Linked DNA regions of Alligator mississippiensis. The protein of the gene in region 2 interacts with the protein of the main gene of each other region in a pairwise test. Links are inferred from orthologs where the notes say so. Each region holds a gene or a part of one and is shown on either strand. Other genes may lie near its edges.

What was found. The genes of interacting proteins can lie anywhere in the genome.
Region 1: the proteins of CEP63 (region 2) and CCNI interact in a two-hybrid assay, tested with the Homo sapiens proteins (2 studies listed by BioGRID and IntAct). The link is inferred for Alligator mississippiensis from reciprocal best matches to the Homo sapiens genes CEP63 and CCNI.
Region 3: the proteins of CEP63 (region 2) and integrator complex subunit 6-like interact in a two-hybrid assay, tested with the Homo sapiens proteins (2 studies listed by BioGRID and IntAct). The link is inferred for Alligator mississippiensis from reciprocal best matches to the Homo sapiens genes CEP63 and INTS6L.

The regions. Positions count from the first base shown.
Region 1 is NC_081825.1:142,276,814-142,284,792, forward strand, and holds the start of CCNI (cyclin-I), read right to left. Parts: upstream 3,010-7,979; 5' UTR 2,638-3,009; intron 1-2,637.
Region 2 is NC_081830.1:30,840,217-30,847,911, reverse strand, and holds the start of CEP63 (centrosomal protein of 63 kDa), read right to left. Parts: upstream 3,011-7,695; 5' UTR 2,927-3,010; intron 2,862-2,926; exon of another isoform or gene 2,768-2,861; intron 1,416-2,767; 5' UTR 1,346-1,415; intron 1,332-1,345; exon of another isoform or gene 1-1,331. Other genes in the region: ANAPC13 (anaphase-promoting complex subunit 13), read left to right, coding at 4,931-5,029. UniProt on the Homo sapiens protein: Required for normal spindle assembly.
Region 3 is NC_081831.1:80,204,829-80,212,005, reverse strand, and holds the start of integrator complex subunit 6-like, read left to right. Parts: upstream 1-4,168; 5' UTR 4,169-4,236; coding exon 4,237-4,347; intron 4,348-4,429; coding exon 4,430-4,507; intron 4,508-7,177.

The DNA.
Region 1 (7,979 bases), on a different chromosome or scaffold from region 2:
TCCACCACAACAGACTTACCAGCTGGATGCAGTTGTATCAGAAATTGGATTGCTATCAGCCAATATGCCTCCTTAAAAATCGGCTATTGGTATCATCCCCAAAAATCTATCAGTGCACCCCTATTTTAAACCATGGTTTATGCAGATACACTAGAGCTCAGAACAGGATACAGGACTGTGCACTACTTTATAAATCATCCAAATGATTTTAAAGGCAAATCTACTTGTTAGCAGGGATCCAAAGTAAATCCCTCAAGACAGGAATAACATACTATTGCTGCTTTCTCAGAGCTAGCCTTCTACTCAGCTGCACACTGAAGAAGCTGGTGCCCCTGGGAATATTCCAACACTTGGAAAAATTATAAACAACTAATGTAAAGAGTGTAAAAAGGCTAAACTACAGACACATCAATGAAAACATGAAATAGCTTGAGAAGCGAAAACTTCAAAATCTAGGGAACACAAGAGATTTTATATATTTGAAATATTTTATGGGTTAAAATAAACTGAAAGCATAGAAAATGCCTATAAAAGGGATTGTCCCATGCAGCAGGCTGTCATACTGAGCCATGGAAAAGGCCCTTTTTGGTCCATACAACAGAATACCGATTACAATGGTTGAAAAGCAGCTCTTTAAATCAGAACTCATGGCGGAGGTGGGATCTTTTATTAGAACAACTGGATATTTGCAAAAAAAAAAAAAAAAAAGGCTTTATTTGCAAGCTTTCAGGCACAGGTACCCTTCTTCAGGCATAGGAGAGAACAAAGATTGTAAAAGTTCTCCTAGGTATAAATGAAAATTCGTATTTCACCTTTTCAATCAGGCTTGCAAAATTCTGCCCGCCAACATTCTTATGCTAAAAAGCAATGAAAGGAAGTTTACCAGCATTATGGAAAAAATGAGGGGACAGAGGTTTTATAAATCCAGCATGGCCAATATTACTGTGAATGTTTCCAAGGCTACTTTGTATCAGTAGCACGAAATAACCTAAGGTAACCTTATCTGTTTGGATTATCCCTGAAGGGATAGTTTTATGTAAAACAACATTCAGTCTTCTTTCAAAGAAACCTCCATGGGGGGTTTATCCTACCTCTGCAAATGGGTTAGCAAAACAAGAAAAAAGCAAAAACCCAACAATCCATATCCACTGCCAAGGCCCCTCTCCTGTAGCGGCTCAGCAGGGAGATCAGAGAAGTCTGAAGTATAACATTAAGAGCACAGCTACATATTTTTAAAACACTCTTGACAGCAGAGTAATTGATAACAACCTCAGCAGCAGATGAACAACTGGACATAAACAAAAGCTAAACTAACAAAAGAAACTGGATCCACCACACTGGCAGTAACATTACAAAATGTGAAAAGAATATTCAAATATAGAGGAATGCCACCTGGACAACAATACTTCAAACCTACATGCTGCAATGTCTTTAATCCAGCAGCCCTATAAACACACTTGGAACCCCTCCGATTTCTATAGGCCACCTTGCAGCTGCAGAAGTGCTGCCATGCAGCAATCTTTTCAGGGACCACTAGTAATAAAAGGTCCAACTCTGCTTGACACCGAGTGTCCTCAGATTCTCCAAAGCATTGAGGCTCCCGATCAGTGTAGTGTACCCCAGGGGCATATCAGTACCAGCAGGACTGGGCTAAGGTGCCGTTTAGAAATACTACTCACAACGAGAGAGCCTGAAAGAGCTGCTAACAAACTAAAAATGCACCCCATTCACCCCCCTGTCCTACTTTACATGCAATCAAATCCAAGAAGCGTGCATGATTACTACAAAGCACATCTACATATATGCAATATGCCAATACAGTCCAAATACATAGACACGTACCACCCATACCCACAGTGTTGTTTTCTATCTACAAACAATGCTATGCACTGCAGAAGGGTACATGGAGTCTTTCAGGATGATTGAGATATATATATATCTCTCAATCATCCTGAAAGACATGCACACATACATACATACATACACACACATATATACTGTATATACATATACATACAAATATGCAATTTACACACACAAGCTCATAAAGTCATGTTTACACACACACACACACGCTCAGTTATGTATACACACACATGCTCAAAGTGTGTATATGTACACACACATCCATATATATGTATTTATGTTTTGTTTTGTGTTTTGAGCATGTATGTTTGGGTGCATATATGTATTGAGCATGTGTGCACATATATTTGAGCGTGTGTGTACACACACACACACACACACACACCCCCTTTGAGCATGTGTGTATATATATTTGAGCATGGATATATACCTTCAGCATGTATGTGTGTGTATACACACATACATACATACACATACAGTTTGAGCAAGTACGTGTAAATATATTTGAGCACGCATATGCACGGGTGTATATGCACACGCATGCATGCTCAAAGTACATACATAACCCCCCCATCCGGTGCAAACCTCCCTTGCCTTCCGGGCCTGTCCATGCATTGCACGTAAACAGTGGGGAGGCAGACAATGGGCAGAGCCGCCCCGGCCGCCTGCCGGGCCCGGAGGCGATGGCCCGGGCCAGCCGCCCTGCGGCCCAGGCGGGGCCAGGTGCGAGCCCGGCGGCGGGGGCGCCCCCCGGGCGGAGAAGGGGCTCACCTCCCCTGCAGAGCTGTGCGCGTCCCAGCCGGAGGTGGCCAGCATCCGGCCCATCAGACCCCCATGCCAGGGGGCTCCGGGGGAGCCGAGGCTTGGCTGCTTGTTCTTAGTTTCCTGCTTGTTCCATGTTAGAGGAGGAGGAGGAGGAGGCTGGTGCCCGCGGGCTTCATGTCTCCATGGCTGGTGCTGGGGAGGGAGCTGGCTTGCAAGGGGGAGCCTGCCTGCTTGCAGCTGCCCCCGGGGCAGAAAGGAGCCTCTGGGCTTGGGGGGAGAGGGGATTAAAAAAGAAAAAAAAAAGGGGGAGGGGAGGGGGGATGGGAAACAAAAACAAGAGAGAGGCGGTCGCAGCGAGCCCTTCCTGGGGGGAGCAGGGGAGGGAAAGAAGGGCCGGCAGCGCCCGCCACCGCCTCCTCCCCCTGCGCCGAGGGGCCGCCCGGGAGGCGGTGACAAAGCTCCCTCCCGCCCGCCCCTGCTGCGCTGCTGCCGCCCGCTCAGAAACGTACCGGCTGGGGTCGGGCACCTCGCCGGCCGCAGCGGTGCTCAGCCTTTTTCTGGACCAATGTTTGTAAACATTGATGGGCAGCCCCCACCCAGTCCTGAGCCGCGGGCCCCCGGTGCTGGGCAGGGGGAGCCCAAGCAGCCCCTCGCAGGCTGGAGCTCTGTGAGCCCGCACGGGGAAAGCCGCGGTGTCCCACACGGTTTTCTCCTTGAAAGGAGAATCCATTTTTCAAGTTTGTTGATCCTTTCTTTATTCGAGTAATTAGTTGGGGGGGGGAAAATCTTTTATTCAACTGTTTGAGTTGGTTTGATTAAAAAATACCAGATTTCCCCAAAGAACCTTGTCTGCCTATATCCTCAGATCAACACAGTGACAACCTACCCCCTTGCCCCATTTTTAAATAGCATTTGTGACCCTTGGGTCATGACCTACATGTTGAGAAATGCTGATCTAGTCCAACCCCTGCTTAAACCAGGACAAGCCCCAACTACATCATCCCTTTGTGTCCCCAACACCACCCCGGTAGCCTGTTCCAGGGCTTTGCTGCCCTCCTAGTCAGGGAGTGTTTCTTAATATCCAACCTAAACTTCCCTTGCTGCAACTTAAGGCCATTGCTCCTTGTGCTGTTACCTGCCACCACAGGGCTTGTGGCCCTGGCCTGTCCGCAGCTTTCAGGAGGAACGTGTGGTTGTAAAAAAAAATAACTTTTTTCCAAGTATTTAGTCAGTCTAATAAAAGATATCACATCTACCCAAAGAACCTTGCCTGCCTATGTGTGGGGTCCTGCATTAGTTAGTGAGTGGGAGGGTGTCCCCAGCCAGACACTGCAGTGGCAGGTGTGCGGAAATGAAGTGCCCTTGGCCTGGGTGCCCCCAAGTGACTGGTGGCTTCTGAGAGCAGGCCGCAGGGTGTCAGTGCTGCAGCCCAGGCTGTGGGTGCTGGGTCTTTATGTGTGCACACGTGTATACACATGCATGTATACATAGACAGATATATGTATGTACTGCACATGTCCCTGGCCTGTCACGAGTCTTCTGTGGCCATAGAACTGCACCTCACTTGTGTACCACAGTGTGCACATGTATGGTTATGTTATACAGGGGGGCAAATTGTATGCACATGCTACTACTTTGGGGAGCCAAGCCTAGCACCTAGCCCAGTGGCTCCTAGGAACTACCACAGTGATGATGATTATCACTTAGGAATAGTAGTAGTAGTATCATCATCATCAGGTTATTGTTGTTCTTATTATTATGTTATTGCTGCTATTATTATTACTGTTATTGCTGTTATGGTATTATTATTGTATTGTTATTGCTGTTGTTACTGCTGCTGTTAGTATCATCATCATTGTTGCTATTATTTTGTTGGTTTTGCTGCTGTTATTGTTATTTTGTTATTGCAGTTATTATTATTACTATTATTATTTTGTTGTGAGGAAGCAGACAGTAGTGACATCTCTATGGTCATGTAAAATATTTGGCAGGCACTGGATTGAAATGGGCCAGCCCACCTTGACCATCATGGTGCTGGCAGTTTTACTTAGCAAAGTACATTCACTTCTCAGCAAAACAAATGACTTGATAAAGCAGAGTGGGTAGCAAAATTTTGCAAGGCTGATTTGCACATAGGATCCCACAGCTGCAGCAGCATATGGGATCCGTGGTGTAGAACAACGTGATTCAGGATGACAGGAGTTCTATTTTTTTCTTCCAGTCTTCTGTGCAGGACCTATGCTGTAGGTTGTGGGATAGGGACTTGGTTTTCCTCTTGCTGTTTTGCGGAAGGATCAGACCTAGGCGTCTGCAGAAACTGTGCTACGACTTATTCATCCCTCCCCCTTTGCCCTTCCCCCTCCTCCTGCCTCACTGCGCATGCTGTCAGCTGGAGGAGGCAAAGAAAGAAAACAACAGAGAGAGAGAGAGAGAGAGAGGAGCTGGAGGGAAGGGGAGGATGAGGAGGAGGAGGCAGCAGCGATGGAAGGAACATAAGGAAGGAGGTGGAAATGGTGGGGGACTGCAGGACAGGGCTCCCAAGACAGAACCGTCCCAGTTTCAGGCAGTCTGATCTTGCTCGCTGCCTAGGAAATGTTGGGGAATGTGCAACTGGTGCCTCACCATTACCTTCTTCCTAAACCTAGTCCCCCTCCTACTAGTTTTTAAATCGTGCTTTTTTGTTTTGTTTTCAGGTGTTTATGCCCTTAGAGGAAAAAGGAGAAATCTGCCACACTTCCTACAGCAAGACTCACTGCAGTAAGAGGAACAGTAGAGGGGGAACTCAGGATTTGTTTGTATTAGTTCATCTCTTTCCCCCAGTGCACATTCATGCAGGGGTGCCATGGCAGAGGTTAAGGTGTCTTGCTACAGCTTCTGCTGGGTAAGTTTGAAATTTGCTTTATGCTCAGGCAACAGGCCTTCCAGCTGTAAACGGGCAGCTGGTCATTCAAGATGGAGTTAAAGGCAACTGCTTCATGTACGACTGGCTACAAAAGTAGGCATGCTTTAGCCTCAGTAGCCCAGTGAGCCAGTGGATTCAGGCGGACCTTGGGCCGTTTCGATATGCACGCGCAAATGCACACCTTGCTCAGCATTACATTCATCTCCCAAGATAGCCAATGCCCAAATTCCATTCAGGTCACTGGAGTTATACCAGGGAGTGAATTTGTCTTGATGTGTTTACCAACATAGCTTAGGCAGTTTAAGGTAAGGCATTAAGAAAAGGCTTGTCTGATACAGAACAGAAATTGCCTATAGTCACCCAAAGATTTCCCCCAGAAGAAATGACACTGTTGGTACATATAGCTGTGCACTAATGGAATGGTTAGTTCCAGGATTAAGGAATATTTTGACTAACTCTTCTACAGTTGTAAGCATTTTATGACGTGCCATTTAAAATAATGCAAGCTGTATATGAGGTAGGTACCTTGTCACCACATTTGCACACCTACAGCAGGAATGTTAAGTTAGGAATAAGTTAGCCTGTCATGGTCTGCTATCCTTCTAACACCTATGTAGGGGCAAAGACTCAAATTCCGTACTTCCACTGACATACAAGTGGCAAACAGGAGTTCCTTGGTTCCCTGATCTATTTGCTATCTTCCTCCTTCACTTCCTCCTCATCAGAGACCTGCATTTTGTGGTCTCACTCAAAGGACACTCGCTAGTGAGAGAACCTTTCAGGTGTTCTCTCTCAGATATGGACCTCTCATGATTAATATCCAAATTAGTATGAAAGTCTCATGGAGATGGTTTCTTGTGTTCAATTTTCTTTACACAGGGTGGAGTGAAGAACAGGTAGAGGGGTGGGAACAGAAAGGGTCACATTTCGCTCACTGAAACATCCCTGGTATGGTGGTCATCCCATTTTACTTTGATCTCTCTCATCTGCAATCCCCTTCTCTTTATTTTCATTCTATCATATCACCCCTTCGTGCCATTAGCCAAGCCTGTGAAAATTTACCAATATTCAGCCAGGTTATAAGCATTCAATAAAACTGCATACAGATGCTCAGTAGAGACCAGTCAGTGTTTAGCAGCAATATTCACCACAGATTCCACCTGCATGGAGCATGCTGCAGATGGGAGCTACAGGGACTGAGTAGGACCCTCCCTGCTCTTGTTCATCATGGCTACCAAACCTACCTGGACACAGACCATAGGAACTGAGGCTAGGGAAGCTGTCTTAAGTGCTCTAAGTGCTCCTGCTGCTGGTTCCCTGGGACCATAAAGGAAAACAAAGAAAAATCCTTATTCAGATGCAAAGACATAAAGAACAGACAATTAGGAGCTATGGGGTGGAATAGGCAGGTCCAAAGAAGGGAGGGAAGGTGGGATGGACAGGGAAAGGGAAGGGCAGGAGCTGGTACAGGCACTAGACATGAGGAAGGGCAGAGACAGCAACAGGGTGTTGATAGTGTTGGCTACAAATGTCCAATGCAGGATCCTTAAAATTCTGGTTTATTAGGTGGATTGAAACACTGTAATGAAATCAAATTATAAACCTTGGGGCTGGTCCCCTCATACACATGCACACACACCGTAGCAAGCTCTAAGAGTTGGGTATACCTGTCCCACAAGCGCTGGAGTCTGCCGTCGATGGCCAGTCGAGGATTCTTCCAGCATGGTGTTATCCTCCAGAAGGGGGTTGCCGGCTGGTCCTTCTGGCTGGACAGGTTGGGTGCTGGTCAAGTTGGAGATCAAGAGGGTGCCTCTGAGGGTCACTTTTCACTGCTTTTTATGTCCTTGGCAGACTTTGGTGACTCCCCAGTTTTCAGGTTTGCCCAATCCAGGGGTCATTGACCCTTGTGGGACTTCGTCCTTGGTGGCTACTGGATGGCACCTGTCAGCCCCAGGAGTCATCCACATGTACGTGCAGGTTTGGGAGTCTGCTGATTAATTTTGATTAATTTACCGCTGTCATGAATAGGGCTCTGGGAGTGGTCGATCTAGAGATATTCAGCCCCAAAAGTTGGTCCCCGGCATTGATTAACTCAGACCAGGGCTTCTAGCCCTTGAACAGTGAAGTTCAGAGAATTCCCGGTTGCTAAATTGTCTCCTATTGATTTCTTCGTTGGTTGATCTGCAGTTTCCGCAGGTGTTAATCGCTGCTTATTACTGAAGCCTGCTACTGTGTTACGCATTCAGTCACTGATACACTGGCTCTTTCAGGGGTCCACCTGATACAGGGAAGCACTGGTTTGATTCCTGCCCTTGTTAACATTGTTACAGTGTATAACTTACTTCTAAAACTAAAACACATTTAGTTAAAAGGTGAAGAGTATAAACTATAAGCTACAAGAGTAATGCCATGGCACACAAATAGATAAAAAATACCAAAATACAAG
Region 2 (7,695 bases):
CTTGTCCCCACAGTAAAGGAAACCCAATAAAAGAAGCAAGTGTACAAACAGCAAACAAATGAACAAACAAAACCCAAAAGGCTGTGGTCTTTTTCAGACCCTGGGAGGAGTTAACACAGACTCACTGCTTCTACCCAAGCACCACATCTCCCCTCTTTTTGCTTTTTTCCAATCTGTGCCTGGATATTTGAAGCCTTTTTGTGGCTCCACCTCAAATCCCTCATTAGCTGCAGCTGCTGTCACCCTTCCTGCACTCGTAACTGCTGACTACCTGCAGTTGGGTTGCAGGCTCAGCCCTGCTCCTTACACAGACCCTCCAGCTTTTTTCACATACACGACCAAAGCAGCCACCTGGCAGAACTCCACCCCATGCCCTCACCTCTCACAGCTTTTTCCTTTACCAGCCTAATCCCAGTTCATTCAATTATCTCTCAGAAAATACAAATTCCCTCATGCCCTGACATGCTGTACCTCAATCAGACTTCCAACCAAAATGGTTCAATACTGTTTTCCTTTAAATGACATCTCAGATCCTGAAGCACAGCTCCACAGTGAGCAATAGATACTGCAGTCACAGTATCCAAGTCAGGCCCTGAATTTAATATTAAAATAGGTAGCCATAAAGGCTGCTATTGTGTAACATAATATTGTTTTCCTCAAGTCCAATCACAAGAGCTTGCAAAATTCCCAAGTTCCTAATTTTTAAAATAAATGGCTCTGTAGACATTTCTTGAAAACAATTAAATTAAACAGGAAAGGCCAGAAGCCCTACCGTCACAGTTAAACAGCCTACAATAAGACATACTGTGTTTATTTAACTATGTCAAGAATTGCTCCCCACCCTCCCTGCAGAGACTGCTTTGGGATTCACGCTTCACAAAGTTCACTGATACCTAAAGTTTTCATTTTGTCTTGGCACAGGTGTTTCCAGCTCTGGAAAGTAACACAACACTGGGACTTTTAGATTACATCATTCCGTATTACATTGCATGTTTTCTTTTCATTTTTACCATTTGATTTGATTTTACTAGCTGATCTCCTCTGAACCATGAGAGAGTGCCATTTCAAGCTTGCAGATGGTATGAAGCTAAGAATGAATGTTTTATATACACTAAACAGCAGCAACTAAAGCAGTCAGAGTTAAGGTCATGACACTGAACAGGGTGCTTGAACAGGAGTCTAATTTTAAGCAGAAATAGTCCCAGCAAAATCAAGCTTAAACACATACGCGGGCATCTTCCTGATCCAGGGCCTATGTGAAAAAGGTGCAAGATAGGGTCACACTGTTCTGAACACTAAGCTGTGATGCCTCCTGATTGGGATGGACAAGGAACAAAAGAGTTACCAAGACTGAAATTGGAGAAAAGATCCAGATGGCTCAATGGCACCAGCTGTTCTTGTTTCGGGACATCTAACTGTAAGGTAAAAAGAGCACAGAGGCAGCAAGCCAGTTCAGCAATGGGGTCAATAAAGACAGAAGGGAACCCGCAACCCTTTCCCAGCAAGTCGTGAAACCACGCGGTTACAACACATCGGAACTTTCAGGGTGGACTCCAAGGACAGAGCAAGTCTATCGCTGCAGAAGCAACTCCTGACCAGTCCCCTCAACCAGGATGGCCAGAAAATGCCTTGCTGCCAAGGGTGGCACCTGTTGGTTTATCACCATACATTATACTGGAAGTCTCTGGCCATTTCTTTCTAATCCTTGAAGGATCCAGTACCACCGATACTTTCCAAAGGGCTTTAACATTAGGAGTTACAAGTATCAATAAAAAATCCCTTATTTACAGAGTATTTAATATGTAAGTTTAAAGACACTTGTATTTTCGAGCCCACAACTTCTGTGGTGCTCAGTGCCCAGCCAACAGCCAAGACATGCCCTGCAGACCTGTGTCATTCAGCCCGCAGAGCTCCCCGTGGGTCCCAGCACATGCTACCCTATCTCCCATCGCTGCCTGATAGCAGGAACCGCGGAGACAACGCAGCCTGTGCTTTGTCAGTGATGCTTGACCAGAAAGGAGGCTGTGGCCAGGAGGGTCCCCGGGACTGCAGGCCCGTCTTCACCCGTCTCCGAGCTGAGTATCACCGGGCAGTGCCCACTGGCTCCTTGGACTAGTTGGGGGGCCAGCAGGGACTGTCCAGTGAGCTCTACTCGGCGTCCCGCCTTTGGCACTCTTGTTCCGGCCCTTTGACCTTCACTCCTGTCCGTTTTCCTATTATTTGTCCCCAGCAATCAACTGCCCCCCTTCTCTGCTGCCTCCCTGCGTGAGGGAGGCTAAGGGTGAGGTGGTGAGTGGTGCTGAAGGGGGCAAACGAGCCCCCGAGCAGCTGCTGAAAAGGCAGGCGGGCAGGAGCGGCATCCCCTGCGCCTCGGACCCGACACGGGGTGGGGTTTGGAGATGCCCCTGGATGCCGCCTCCCCGGGGCAGCGCCCCCCTCCGCCGCCGGGTGCAGCACGGGCCAGGGGCCCCGCCGGCCTAAGGGGGGCAAACCAGGGGCCCAGTGGGGCTCGGCACCCGGACGCGCTGGCCTGGGCCGGGCCGGGCCGGGCCGGGCCAGCCCCAGGGTCGCAGACAGCGCGGGGCAGGGGCCGCCTTCCCGCCCGCCGAAGCGAAGGGCCTCTGGGCCCGGAGCGGCACAGGGAAACTGAGGCACCGTCACTACGCCGCCTGACTCGCCTTGGGTCACCCAGCGCGAAGGAGGCGGGGCCAGGCTTGCGCATGCGCAATGCAAGGGGAAGGGGCGTCCCGGTCCGGCAAGCCGTTACCCGCGGCGGTGCTGCTGGAGGGCCCGGCTTCCTCTCTATAGTTCGCGCGGCTCAGAGCGGCCAGTCACGTGAAGGCCTGCGGAGGAGCGAAGGGGTGAGCGCGCGGGAGGGGTCGTGCGGAGCTGGCGCTGGGGGGAAGGAATGGAGCGCTTCTCTCACCGGTAGGGAAGGGACATAGGCCCCAAAAGTGCAAGGCTGGCTGCGTAGTGCGCATGTGTGGGAGCCGGAGCATGCGCACTGCCGGCTGTGAGACTGCGGCTCGGGTCCCCGCCCTGATCTTGAGAAGCAGGCACTCTGCCCTAATCCTGAGGCGCGGAGGACCCCCCCCCCCGGCGCGAAGGTAGGTCGATAATGCGCATGTGCGCTGATAGGAGCATGCGCAGTGCCCTCCCTGGGCTCTGAGGTGGGGGCATGTGCTCAGAACCTGGACGGCTCTGCTGGGGGGTGATGGTCTGCTTGAGGCGAGCCTGGGAGAGGAGAAACACTCTACTCATTCTCCCTGGTCCTGACCCTGTGCAGGGACTCCTCGAGCCCCTCAGCGCACTGCAGAAGGACCCCTGTCTTTTTGTCCCTGAGAGGCCCGGGGTAGTTAGAGCCAGACTATGTAATTATTTGGGCCTGGGGGCCACATAGGGAGGTGTGAAGAGCTGTTGTGTGCTGGGTCCACGCAGCAACCCACCCAAACTCTGTGGGCACATCCACGTTCATTAATGTGCCTCAGATCCTGTGAATTTATTACTTAATTTTGGACTAACTGAACACACAGTATCTACAGTTACTGGCAGTGGGGTATTAGCATGGTTTGTGCCGTGACATACTACTGCGTGGTGGTATTAAGCTAATGTGCATTAAGCGTCTCATGTAGACATGCCCCCACTGTGGGATGGGGCCATAGGCGGGGAGCTGTATTCGGGAGAAGGATGGGCATCTGCTTCCTGCTGGGCCCCACTGCTCAACTGAGCTCCCCTCACCTCTAGAGGCAGCTCCTCTTGCCCCTGGTGTGCTGCTACAGGTGGGGGAAGCTTCAGCCGGTGGGTCCTACCCCAGCACATGGGGCTCTTGTAGCTCCCAGCCACCTTTTACCTGCTCCACCCGCTCGGCTGCCATTTCCCCTGGCTGGAAGCAGCGCCACGGGCAGGAGCAGGAGCAAAAGCTGCTGCTGGAGGTGAGCTGAGCAGCACCCATGGGGCTGCAGCTGCACCAGGAGCCACTCTGCCAGAAGCTGTGCACACGGGCTGGGGCCTGCAGACAGAGTCAGGAGCGCAGCCTGGGCTGGGCTTGGCCCCATGCAGAGCTCCACAGGGGCAGTCGCTGGCTAGATCCAGTCAACTGGTTGGTTGGATCTGGCCAGTGGGCTGTATTTTGGCCAACTCTTGAGTTAGAGAGTGAAGGTCTGCCCCTTGCATTGCAAGACTCTACAGATGCCTCCTAATGGGAGGATCTCACCTACACAGTTTATGCTGATGACTGAGGATTGCTCTTGGGGGGGCACGGCGGTGGTGGGAGTATGTCAGTGGTGAGTGGGGAGCTCCTGCAGATGCTGCCAGCACTGGCGGGGGGGGGGGGGGGGGGCAAGCGCCGACCAGAGGTCGGCAATCACCCACAGATGCCACCGGCAGCATCAGCAGTAGACAGCGGGGATCACTGACTGCTCGCAGGCAGCGGCAGGGTGGCGAGTGACGACCGCCCCCAAGCACCGCTGACAAAAAGGCGCCACTGACACTGCGCATGCCCCTAGCTTGTTCTTTCAGCTTTTTGGCTAGGGGCAAGCAAGACTAGGGGGCATGTAAACCCCAAGGCCTTGGGGCTTGCATGTAGGATGCCTGCCATGGGTTTGGGAGTATCCTAAGCCCCAGGCTGAAGAGTTTGGGAGGTAGGATACTTGCCAGTGGTAGCACCACATGGACCTGAACAGTTGAGCTCTGCTCAGTCAATAGAATTTGGAGTTGATTTGGCCTGAGACATGGAATTTCAAAAAAAAAACAAAACCACCCCAAACCATATGATGCATATGTGAATGCAAGAGCCAAGATCTCCTGAGTGGCTTTTCTCAACAGGAATTAAAACAACCCCCAAGGTACCACTCTAGAGGGTTTGGGCCATTGCGAATGACGTCCTTTTTGTTTCGCAGGTGTTGCGTGATTGCGGGCTGGCTGCGCACTGATGGACAGTGAGGTGCAGAGGGACGGGAGAATCCTGGATCTGATTGACGATGCCTGGAGGGAAGACAAGTTACCATATGAGGATGTGGCAATACCCCTGGTAGGTGACCGCTGTGCACTGAATTAACAGCCTGATCTTGAGTCCTTGCATTTCCAAATTTCTTAACCCCTTCTAAGCAAATGATCCTTGCAACACCACCACTTTGTACCAGAAATACTCTTATACCGCTCTGTTCAGCTTCCCCTTTGTTTTGTGTGTGGCAAGAACATGGGATTCACTCCCCCACTTCCTCCCTTCTCTTCCCCCTCCACAGGTGGGGGTACAAATGCTTTCATCCCACAGCTGTTTGACTCCTTGGAAGGAGGAAACCTCTCCTCTTGCTCTTAGTCAGTTGTCAGCCTCTTTGGAGGGTGCAATGCTTCTTCCCATCCCCTGCCTCTGTTTGGGGTTAGGGGCAAGCACAAGTGATGCTCTTTTATCAAACTACATTTTATTATAGTGCTGGTTGTGTTTGAAGCAGTTTGCCAGACTGGGGTCTGTGGGTCTCGGATAAGCAGCCTTGTGTTGGCAGTGTGTGGAGAGTTAGCATTTAAGTACTGTTGGCTACTTTTCATTCCCAGCTGCTAAAATGCATTCAGTGTTTTCCTAAGAGTACTTTTCCATGTAAACAATCACTGTAATTATTACTAAAATGGTGTGATCATGGTGTCGGGACCAAGGGTCGGTCTAAGGCTATGGCCAGTAGCCTGGACCGTCAGATGGGGTTTTTCCACGACGGAGTAGAGTTAGGCACGGAAGCGTATTGGTTTTACAAAGAAAGCTTTACTTACACTGCCGATGGTCACAGTGCAGGGAGGAAACTTGCTTGAGTTGCAGTTGCACACAAACAAACACAAGTGAGATCTCTTCCGAACCACACCGAACCGAGATGAGTCGTCGATGTATGACTCCACGAGCGCTTTACACGGGGGATACGTCAAATTTTCACTATGACGGGGAGTGGCTAAGAGCTGATCAGGCCTCTATGTCCTCCTCCAAGGCACACGCAGAGTTTGCTAGGCTCCACAGCACGCTCAGAGTTCCCCACGAGATGGTTGTGGAGTCCTCCAACTTGGGCGGAAACTGCTCTAACCTTTTGTACGGCTAGCGAGCCAATTGCTAGCCGCCACGTAGGAATAATTTAGAATTGACCAATAGTGGGACACTAATTTGCATGCATGTGGCAGGAACTCTTTTGCACCAGGGATTTCTCTCTGCAGCTGAGAAATCCACCGCGCGAAGAAAGCTCCATGTGGCGGGAAAATTCCAATGTGCCGAGGCACTAAGAATCATTGGGTTATGACGCATAGAAGCATCTGTTATGTGATCCCAGTATTGAAATACAATCCATGCCAGAGGTGCCCCTTAAATTGTGCACTTGAACACATCTGTATTGGTAGTCTCTTTGCTCATAAAGGTACCTACACGACAAGGCAGCTTCCCTTCAGGACACAGGTGCCAACTTATCTGTCCCTGTGGGCCAGGTGAATGGCATGGGACTGGTTCATGGACTGGGTAAACTGCCAGGGGTCAGCCTGTGAACTGTCTTGGACCCTCCCCACCACATGATGGACCCTCCCCACCACATGTTGGATCCAGCATCTGCTTTGTGCGGTCCATGGTGCTTGTTCCATGCAGCACAGATCCTTGACCAGCCAGAGCAAGTGCCAGATCTGGCATGCAGGGGATCCAGTGGAGCACTGCTGCTTCCAGCATGGCTGTTCCAGCCCTTGCTCTGGCATTCTGGAACTGTGCCACAAGTGGTACCTGTTCTGAACTGGTTGGAGCAGGAGCTGGATCCACCATGGGGATGGGAGCCAGATGATGTGGCTCCATGGGCTGGATCTGGCCCATAGATCTTATCTTTGACATCTTTCCCTTTCCCCAGAGGCATGTAGTATCACCAGTCAAGAGCTAGTTGAAAAAGTGGCTCCCCTTATCCCCAACTGCATCCAGTGCTAAGGGCCACTACACTTCCCCTTTCCTCATCTCTCAGCTGGAGTGAGGGAGTCCCAAGGACTTGCCCTTTCTCTATTCCCTTACCATTCTGCCAGCAAGGGGAGTGGAGGGGAGGAACTGATTTCTCCTAGGTCTGTTAGCAACTATTTTTGATCTATCATGAACTCTGAAGTACACCAGGATCTTTGCAGCCCCTTTCCATTGGATACCTGCATATCCTGTTACTCTTCAAACACACACCCTCCCCACATAAACCCCATTCATTTTTGGATTTCATACAGCCTTAAATGAACTGAGTAAAGGCCTTCCAGAGGTACTCTGTTCTGGTGAGCTCAAGATCTATTTTCATGCTGATACTTACCCAACTAGCAGTGATTTTTAGTTCATAGCATAAGTATGCAGCCTGGGGATGGACCTCCTGTCACCTGAAATATGATCGTCTATGAACAGGTTGAAAATCCAGCACAGCTTCTTCAGAAGACTTTTTCACTCAACAACATCAAGAAGGGACTGACTGAAGGGTCCTAAATATGGTGCTAACTACTGCTTCCCTTAATGCTTGATCCAAACTCCAGTAAACCATGAAGGCTTCCAGTGACTCCAGTACGCTTGGGATTGGGTCCTAATTGAAACAAATTTTAGATTTTGAGAAGGTCCTTTTGTCTTGTCTCGTGCTAGGGAGCCCATGACTCAGAAGGGAGAATCCTGCTCTGGCGGTTTCATTCAGAATAACATATGCACACTAGAAATTGTACAGTTATGGCAAA
Region 3 (7,177 bases), on a different chromosome or scaffold from region 2:
ATTATGAGGCCTAATGAATATTTTTACAGTGATTTCACATATCTGTTAATTTGGGGGGCGCTATCAGGAGCCAAGGGACAAGTGGTCAGTATGGCTGGAATAAACTCAAATGGGGACCCACAGAAAAGGGTCTGATGGATTTAATTTTTCATCTGGTAGCAAGTGGGTTGAAGTTGGATATTTCTTCCTGATTGGCACATCCAGCACTTTTCAGATTCTGCTGACCAGGGCTCCTGGTTTTCTCTGATTTAAAAAAAAATCCCCAATTTTTGTTTAAAAAAAAAGTAACCCCAAATACACATTTTTCCATGATTAAAATGAAACACCGTTATATATAGATCTATATATTAGTGGTGTTTCATTTAAATCATGGAAAAAATTGGATTTGAGGTTACTTTTTCTTAACCAAAAATTGGGAATTTTTTTCAATCGGAGAAAACCAGGAGCCCTGCTGATGACTAAAGGAGGTCATCTATGACCCCTGATCAAAGCCTAAAGGAGCAGGGCTACTGCCTTTCAGATTTGCTAGATGCCTGGGTCAGCCGGCTGGTGAGAACAAAGTTAACAGGTGAAGCAATACAAAAAGAAGTAAGGATGGTTTTTAGCACTAAACCCCTATTAGAAGAGATGGGTTAGGTGTTAAGCTATGTCAGGACAAGGAAAAGAAAAATAAGGGCTTATCGACACGATTCACTTGACCAGAACAAAGTGCACTAATACTTCCACAATAAAGCGACTTTTATTCTGGAGCAGCCCTTCCACATAGGGAACTAGTCTGAAATAGATATTGCAGACTAGTTTATTCTGAAATAGCTGCTCTGGTCAATTTACCCCTGGAGACAAGCTTTTTATGTCTCATAGTTAAATTGCTCTTCTCTGGAAAATTGAAAAAAAAAGAGTTAACTTATTTTATTGATTTATGGAGTGTCTGTCACCATAGCAGCCAGGTATTTAGAAATGCAAACACAAATTGGTGGAGCTGCATACAATGGATCCCAGCAAAGAGCCACTCGCTGCTTTTTCCACTTGTGCACATTAGCAACCATTATTTTCGGGAGTAAAAAAAAGTCACATAAATCTAAACTAAATAAATAAGTCTCCTGCATTGTGCCCTGAAAATTGCTAGTCTTCAGCTCTGGTGAAGTTCAGCTGGAGCAAATTCCAGAAACCATAGCCCTCAGCAAGGAGCTCTGCTCCTGGAAAAGTCAGCCTCTGAAACTGAAAGCAAGAGCCTTCTTCCATCTTGACCTTTAACTACTATTGTGAGGGTAGAGGAGAGGAGGGCTTAGCTGCATATTGGTTCCTGGCCATTTGGAGTCACAGAAATCTTGCTAATAGTATGAATTTTCAGGGTCTTTTAGCACCTTGTGGTCTATCTCACAGAGCAGTATAGGCAGTCTTAAACCTTCGCATTGCTTGTTTTGAACTGGTCCAGGTCACCTGTGATTAAAAGTTACCGTATGATCTGATGGCTATGCATATGAGAAATGAACATGCGGTCACAGTCAAGTACTCTGTGCAGACATGCCTACATCAGAGTTAGCATCTGCTACAAAGGCAAGGACCGTATGGAAACGAAGTTGTTTTTCCAGGTCAAGGCTGAAATACATTAGCAGGGGAGTCTGGGGAAGCTGGCCCTACTGCTGCCTTTGCTGTACCTTATCTGTAGATAAGTAGGCATTGAAATTCCAGCTCTATTGATCTAGCTTCACCCATGTACACTATATTTTCTAAAAATACTTCACCTTTTCAGTATTTTCTTCCAGAAATTGCTAAAAGCTTGGAGCCCAGATCCTGACTGTACTTTGAAACACACACCTACCTATCCATGACTTGGAGGTAGCAGAGCCAAAGGTTTGAATATCCTTGTGTATCTTTGTTTTTATTGCGGGAGTTTTTAAGTGTTTTTTTCTCTCTGATCCATTACTGTTAAATAATTCGCTGAAATTGTGTAAAATACAGATGCATATAAGCTAAGCTGGTTATTAAAAAAGCCTTTCTAAAACCTTTTATGTAGAGCAGTAACATTTACCCGTTGTAAATCCAGAATTTAGATTTTGTGTGGGATGAGATGAAGGGGTAATTACAATACCTAACAGGCCAATTTCTATTTTCTGAAATGGACTCAAGGGCTTTCTCTTTCTCCTCTTTTTCTTTTAAAGACCTTTTTTCCCCCCTCAGAACCACTGTTAATGTGTACCAGCACACTCAGTGGTGGTACACTGGAGATGATTTTGACTGATTTGGAGTAAAAGTATTTTCATGAACAATGTTAGTCCTTTCCTTTTTAATTAAAATTGCTTTGGAGACAATTTTAACATCCCACTGCAATGTTGTGAAACTAAACAGCATTGTTCAAGTGCATCAGAAAAATAAAGTGAAATGGACTAGAAACCATGAAACTGACTGCTCTTTCAATCGTTCGACTTGAATGAAATACAGAAAAGTAGGGGAATATACACTGTGAAAAAGAACATTTGAGTTTAAAAAGTGCTTCTGTTCAATGGAAAGTAACTAGCAACTGAATTATTTAAAAAAATGAGATTTATGTTTGAAATGTCCCTTTAGTATTTTCAGGACTTAATCCTGCAAACTATTTTGCACTATAGTGTAGTGCTAAATAGCTCCCTTGAACACTCACACTAGCTACTAGTGTGCTTAGTTGTAGATATTGGCAGCACCAGGGCCTAATACCAGTGCTAGTGACTTCAAATCCAGAGGGCCCCATGTGTGGGCATGGGTTCACTTGAAGGGACCTCACTGCACAGCTGAAGCCTTAGTATCCTTTTTTCCCCCTCTCTGATGATCCAGAGCATCTTCATCCCTTCTTCCCCCTCACTTGAGTTGGTATGGGAGTACTGTCATCAATTATTTATTGCACCTCCTTTTGACATTCTTAGTTGCCATGTGCACACACAATTGCAGCAGAAAATATGCAATAAACATCTAGCAGCTAACTTTTGGCAGCCTTGATGAACAGCATTACAAGTGGAAAACGCTTGTAAGGGATTTGGCACCCTCAAATTAGGGCCTTTAAAGGGCAAAACTGTGGAGGCCTAGAAATCAGGGACTCATTTCAACTGTTGTCACCTTCCTGGGGCAGCCCACAGCTCGTGGGGCCCCGGCTCAGCTTTTGGGCACTACTCTAGGTGCACGAGTGTCTGCAAAGGACACGACTGGACCAGTGCAGCAGGGCCCAGGGTGGCTGGCAGCAATCTGCAGCAAGGGGCTGGGCGCAGAGCGTGCGGCAGCCCAGACCGCCTGATGGATGCGCAAGAAGCTGTCGATAGGCGGCGGAAATGCAGGGCATGCACCTTATAGACCAGTGGTTTGCAACCTTTTTTAGACTCAGGGCCCCTTGTTAGGCTCAAGGACCCCTCAGAAACTGCCAGCTCTTAGTTTGAATGGGGAAAAACAAAAATGGCAATTTTTCTATTGCATTCTATGGGCACTGTGGATTCCGATCAGAAATCTCTACTACCTCCCAGCACAAAACTGCACAATCCCCCCCAAACAGAGCCCAAGGTCCCCCCAGTGTCCTGGCAGGATACCTCACCAGATACCTACAGAGCACGAGGGTGCCTTTGGGTGGGAACCAGGCGGATGAACTGTGACCTCCGCAGGTCCCTGCCAGCCCAGCTGCTCTAGGAAGAACTGTGGTTGTCTATGATTCACCGAGTGTCAGGCTGGCAGGGACCTTGGAAGATGATGGGGTCCAGCCCCCTGCACCAAGCAGGAAAGTGACCCCTGCAAGGCGACCAGGGCTGGGCTGCAAAGCCTGATGAAAACCCACCTCCCACCCTGCCCTGCAAAGCCGTATGAACCCCACGCCCCAAAAACCCCCACCTTATGAACCCCCCCCCTCCTGCAAAGCCCTATGGAAAGCCACAACCTAGGCCTGCAAAGCCCTACGGAAGCCCCCCCAGCCCTACAAAGGGGCCCCTCCGTGGAAAGCTGCTTCCCAGCAACAGGCCGCAACCACGGAGCGGAGACGAGGTCCGCGGAGCCCCCCAGGCAGCAGCCCCCGCCAGGGGCACGTGGCTCCCCCCGCCGCCCCTCCCCCTCCCGCTAGCCCCGCCCCTCGGGATATGCAAATGCCGGCGGCGGGCAGCCAATGGCGCCGGGGCGGGTCACGTGGGCGGGCGCGCTGGGCGAGGGCCGCGGCGCTCAGTCGGGCCCGGGCGGCGGCGCCGAGCGGAGCAGCGGGGCGGGCGGGCAGGCAGGGCACGGCTGGCCATGCCGATCCTCCTCTTCCTCATAGACACCTCGGCCTCCATGAACCAGCGCGCCTCGCTGGGCACCAGCTACCTGGACGTGGCCAAGGGCGCCGTGGAGATCTTCATGAAGGTGAGCACCCCCCCGCTCGCGCGCCCCCCCCCACCCGGCCGGCCCGGCCCCACGCTAACGCCGCCGCCCTCTCCCCTCACAGCTGCGCGCCCGGGACCCGGCCAGCCGCGGCGACCGCTACATGCTGGTGACCTTCGACGAGCCGCCCTACGGCATCAAGGTACGGCCGGAACATGGCGGACATTTTGCTTTTGTATGTGGGAGGTGAGGGCGCCGCCGACATGGAGGCGGGAGGCGCCGCCCCCGCCCCGGGGAGGGGCCCGCACGGCCGGACCGGCCCCTCGCCCCGCCTCCCCGCGCCCGCACCGGCAGTTAACTGTGGGGCTGGGTTGAGCCCCCCCTTCCTCTTCCTCCCCCCCCCGTGGGGCTGGGCTGAGCCCCTCCCCTTCCCTCCCCCCCCGTGGGGCTGGGCTGGGCTGAGCCCCTCCCCTTCCTTCCCCCCCCCCCGTGGGGCTGGGCTGAGCCCCTCCCCTTCCCTCCCCCCCCCCCGTGGGGCTGGGCTGGGGTGAGCCCCTCCCCTTCCTTCCCCCCCCCCGTGGGGCTGGGCTGAACCCCCCCCTGGGGCCCCTCCCCTCTGCCTCCCCCTTCCCCCCCTCCCCCCCTGGGGCTGGGCTGAGCCCCCCCCCCTCCCCCCCTGGGGCTGGGCTGAGCCCCCCCCCTTCCTCCCCCCACCCCGTGGGGCTGGGCTGGGCTGAGCCCCTCCCTTTCCTTCCCCCCCATGGGGCTGGGCTGAGACCCCCCATGGGGCAGAGCTGGGCTGGGCCCCTCCCCTCTCCCCCCCTGTGGGGCTGGGCTGAGCCCCTCCTCCCCCCCTGTGGGGCTGGGCTGAGCCCCCCCCCCCCGTGGGGCTGGGCTGAGCCCCCCCCCCCCCCGTGGGGCTGGGCTGGGCCCCTCCTCTCTGCCCCCCCCGTGGGGCTGGGCTGAGCCCCCCCCCCCCCGTGGGGCTGGGCTGAGCCCCCCCCCCCCGTGGGGCTGGGCTGGGCTGGGCCCCTCCTCTCTGCCCCCCCTGTGGGGCTGAGCCCCCCCCGTGGGGCTGGGCTGAGCCCCTCCCTCCCCCCCGTGGGGCGGGGCTGGGCCCCTCCCCTCTGCCCCCCCCCCCCCCCCGTGGGGCTGAGCCCCCCCCCCCCGTGGGGCTGGGCTGAGCCCCTCCCCCCCTCCCCCCCCCCCCGTGGGGCTGGGCTGAGCCCCTCCCCCCCTCCCCCCCCCCCCCGTGGGGCTGGGCTGAGCCCCTCCCCCCCCTCCCCCTCCCCCCCCCCCCCCCCCGTGGGGCTGGGCTGAGCCCCTCCCCCCCCCCCCCGTGGGGCTGGGCTGAGCCCCTCCCCCTCCCCCCCCCCCCCCCCGTGGGGCTGGGCTGAGCCCCTCCCCCTCCCCCTCCCCCCCCCCCCCGTGGGGCTGGGCTGAGCCCCTCCCCCCTCCCCCCCCTGTGGGGCTGGGCTGAGCCCCTCCCCCCTCCCCCCCCTGTGGGGCTGGGCTGAGCCCCTCCCCCCTCCCCCCCCTGTGGGGCTGGGCTGAGCCCCTCCCCCCCCTGTGGGGCTGGGCTGAGCCCCTCCCCCCCGTGGGGTGGGGCTGAGCCCCCCCTTTTCTCTTCCCCCATGGGGCCAGGTGGCTGTCATGGCCTTTGGTGGCACAGGGCTGCAGGGCATGTGCATGTCTCTCCCTGTGCCTGTTTCCTGTTCTAAGGCAGCAGGATAACGTCATGCCTCTGCTGTGGCTGCTGCACTGCCCAGAAGGGGGGGGGGGGTGAAACACCTTAGCGCTGATTTTTTTTTCCCTGCTTCTTGGCCCTGAACTTCCTAGCTTCTGAAATTCCCAAACGAGTGTGGTTGTGAACATCCTGCAGGCCCACAGCTGAGCTTCTTGCCACTGCAGGGAGTGTGAGCCCACAGGGGTCCCCTGAACAGCCCTGGATGGAGATACTCCATTGCCTTTCTTTTCTAGTTTGCCCCTTCGCTTCTTGTCACGGCCAGTCAGGAGCTGTGGTTATCTTGCCATGTTTGGCCTTGGGCCAGTGTAAAGTGGATGTGTCCACGTGGCAAACCCCACAACGGGTTGCAGTTCTGACAGCAGGTAAGGACAGGTCATCTCTTCCCTAGATCATAGGTAAAGCACCTGAATTATCTGGGGACGGCTTCATACCTTTCACCAAAATGAATTGTACAGTTGAAAAGGGCAGCAGACTTGCACTCTGAAATGCCAAAAACACTTTACGTAAGCCAGAATTTATTTTGTATTAACTACTCCGACCACTTCCTTCCACCTCCTCCAAAGGGGGTCAGGTCACCTTGTGTTTCTGTGCTCAGTTTGAAATTCCATATTGGGCTCTAGGGTTACATTAATTCTTTTCAGGTCAAGAAATATTACTGGGTCTCCAGTCTGTCATCAGAGGGTTTTCTGCATGGTAGTGTGAACATTTCCCTTCTCTTCTGCAGTCAGGAACCGACTACAGTAATCTTACTCCATTTTATGACAGCCCAAACTATGGACTTACTGCCTTTTGCTGGTTTATTCTCCCTCATGCATAAAGATGAGGGTTCCTGTGTAGGTTGCTTTTTTTCTTTTTTACTTGAGAGAAACCCTTCCCTTGACACCCAGTTGGACCTAACATGATAATGAAAATGCTTGTGAATGTGATGTCAGTGGATTTGCTTGTATATGTGCAGTAAGAATATTACTGGCTATTGCCATATGTTATGGCAAGTTGCACTACAGAATATCACCTGCAGTGGAAATATTGTAATGCTTGGTGCATGTTACACATTCTAAAACATGACAATTAAAATGTGAGGGACTTAGTAAGCCTTAGGTTTTGTAAAGGGTCATATAGTAAGCC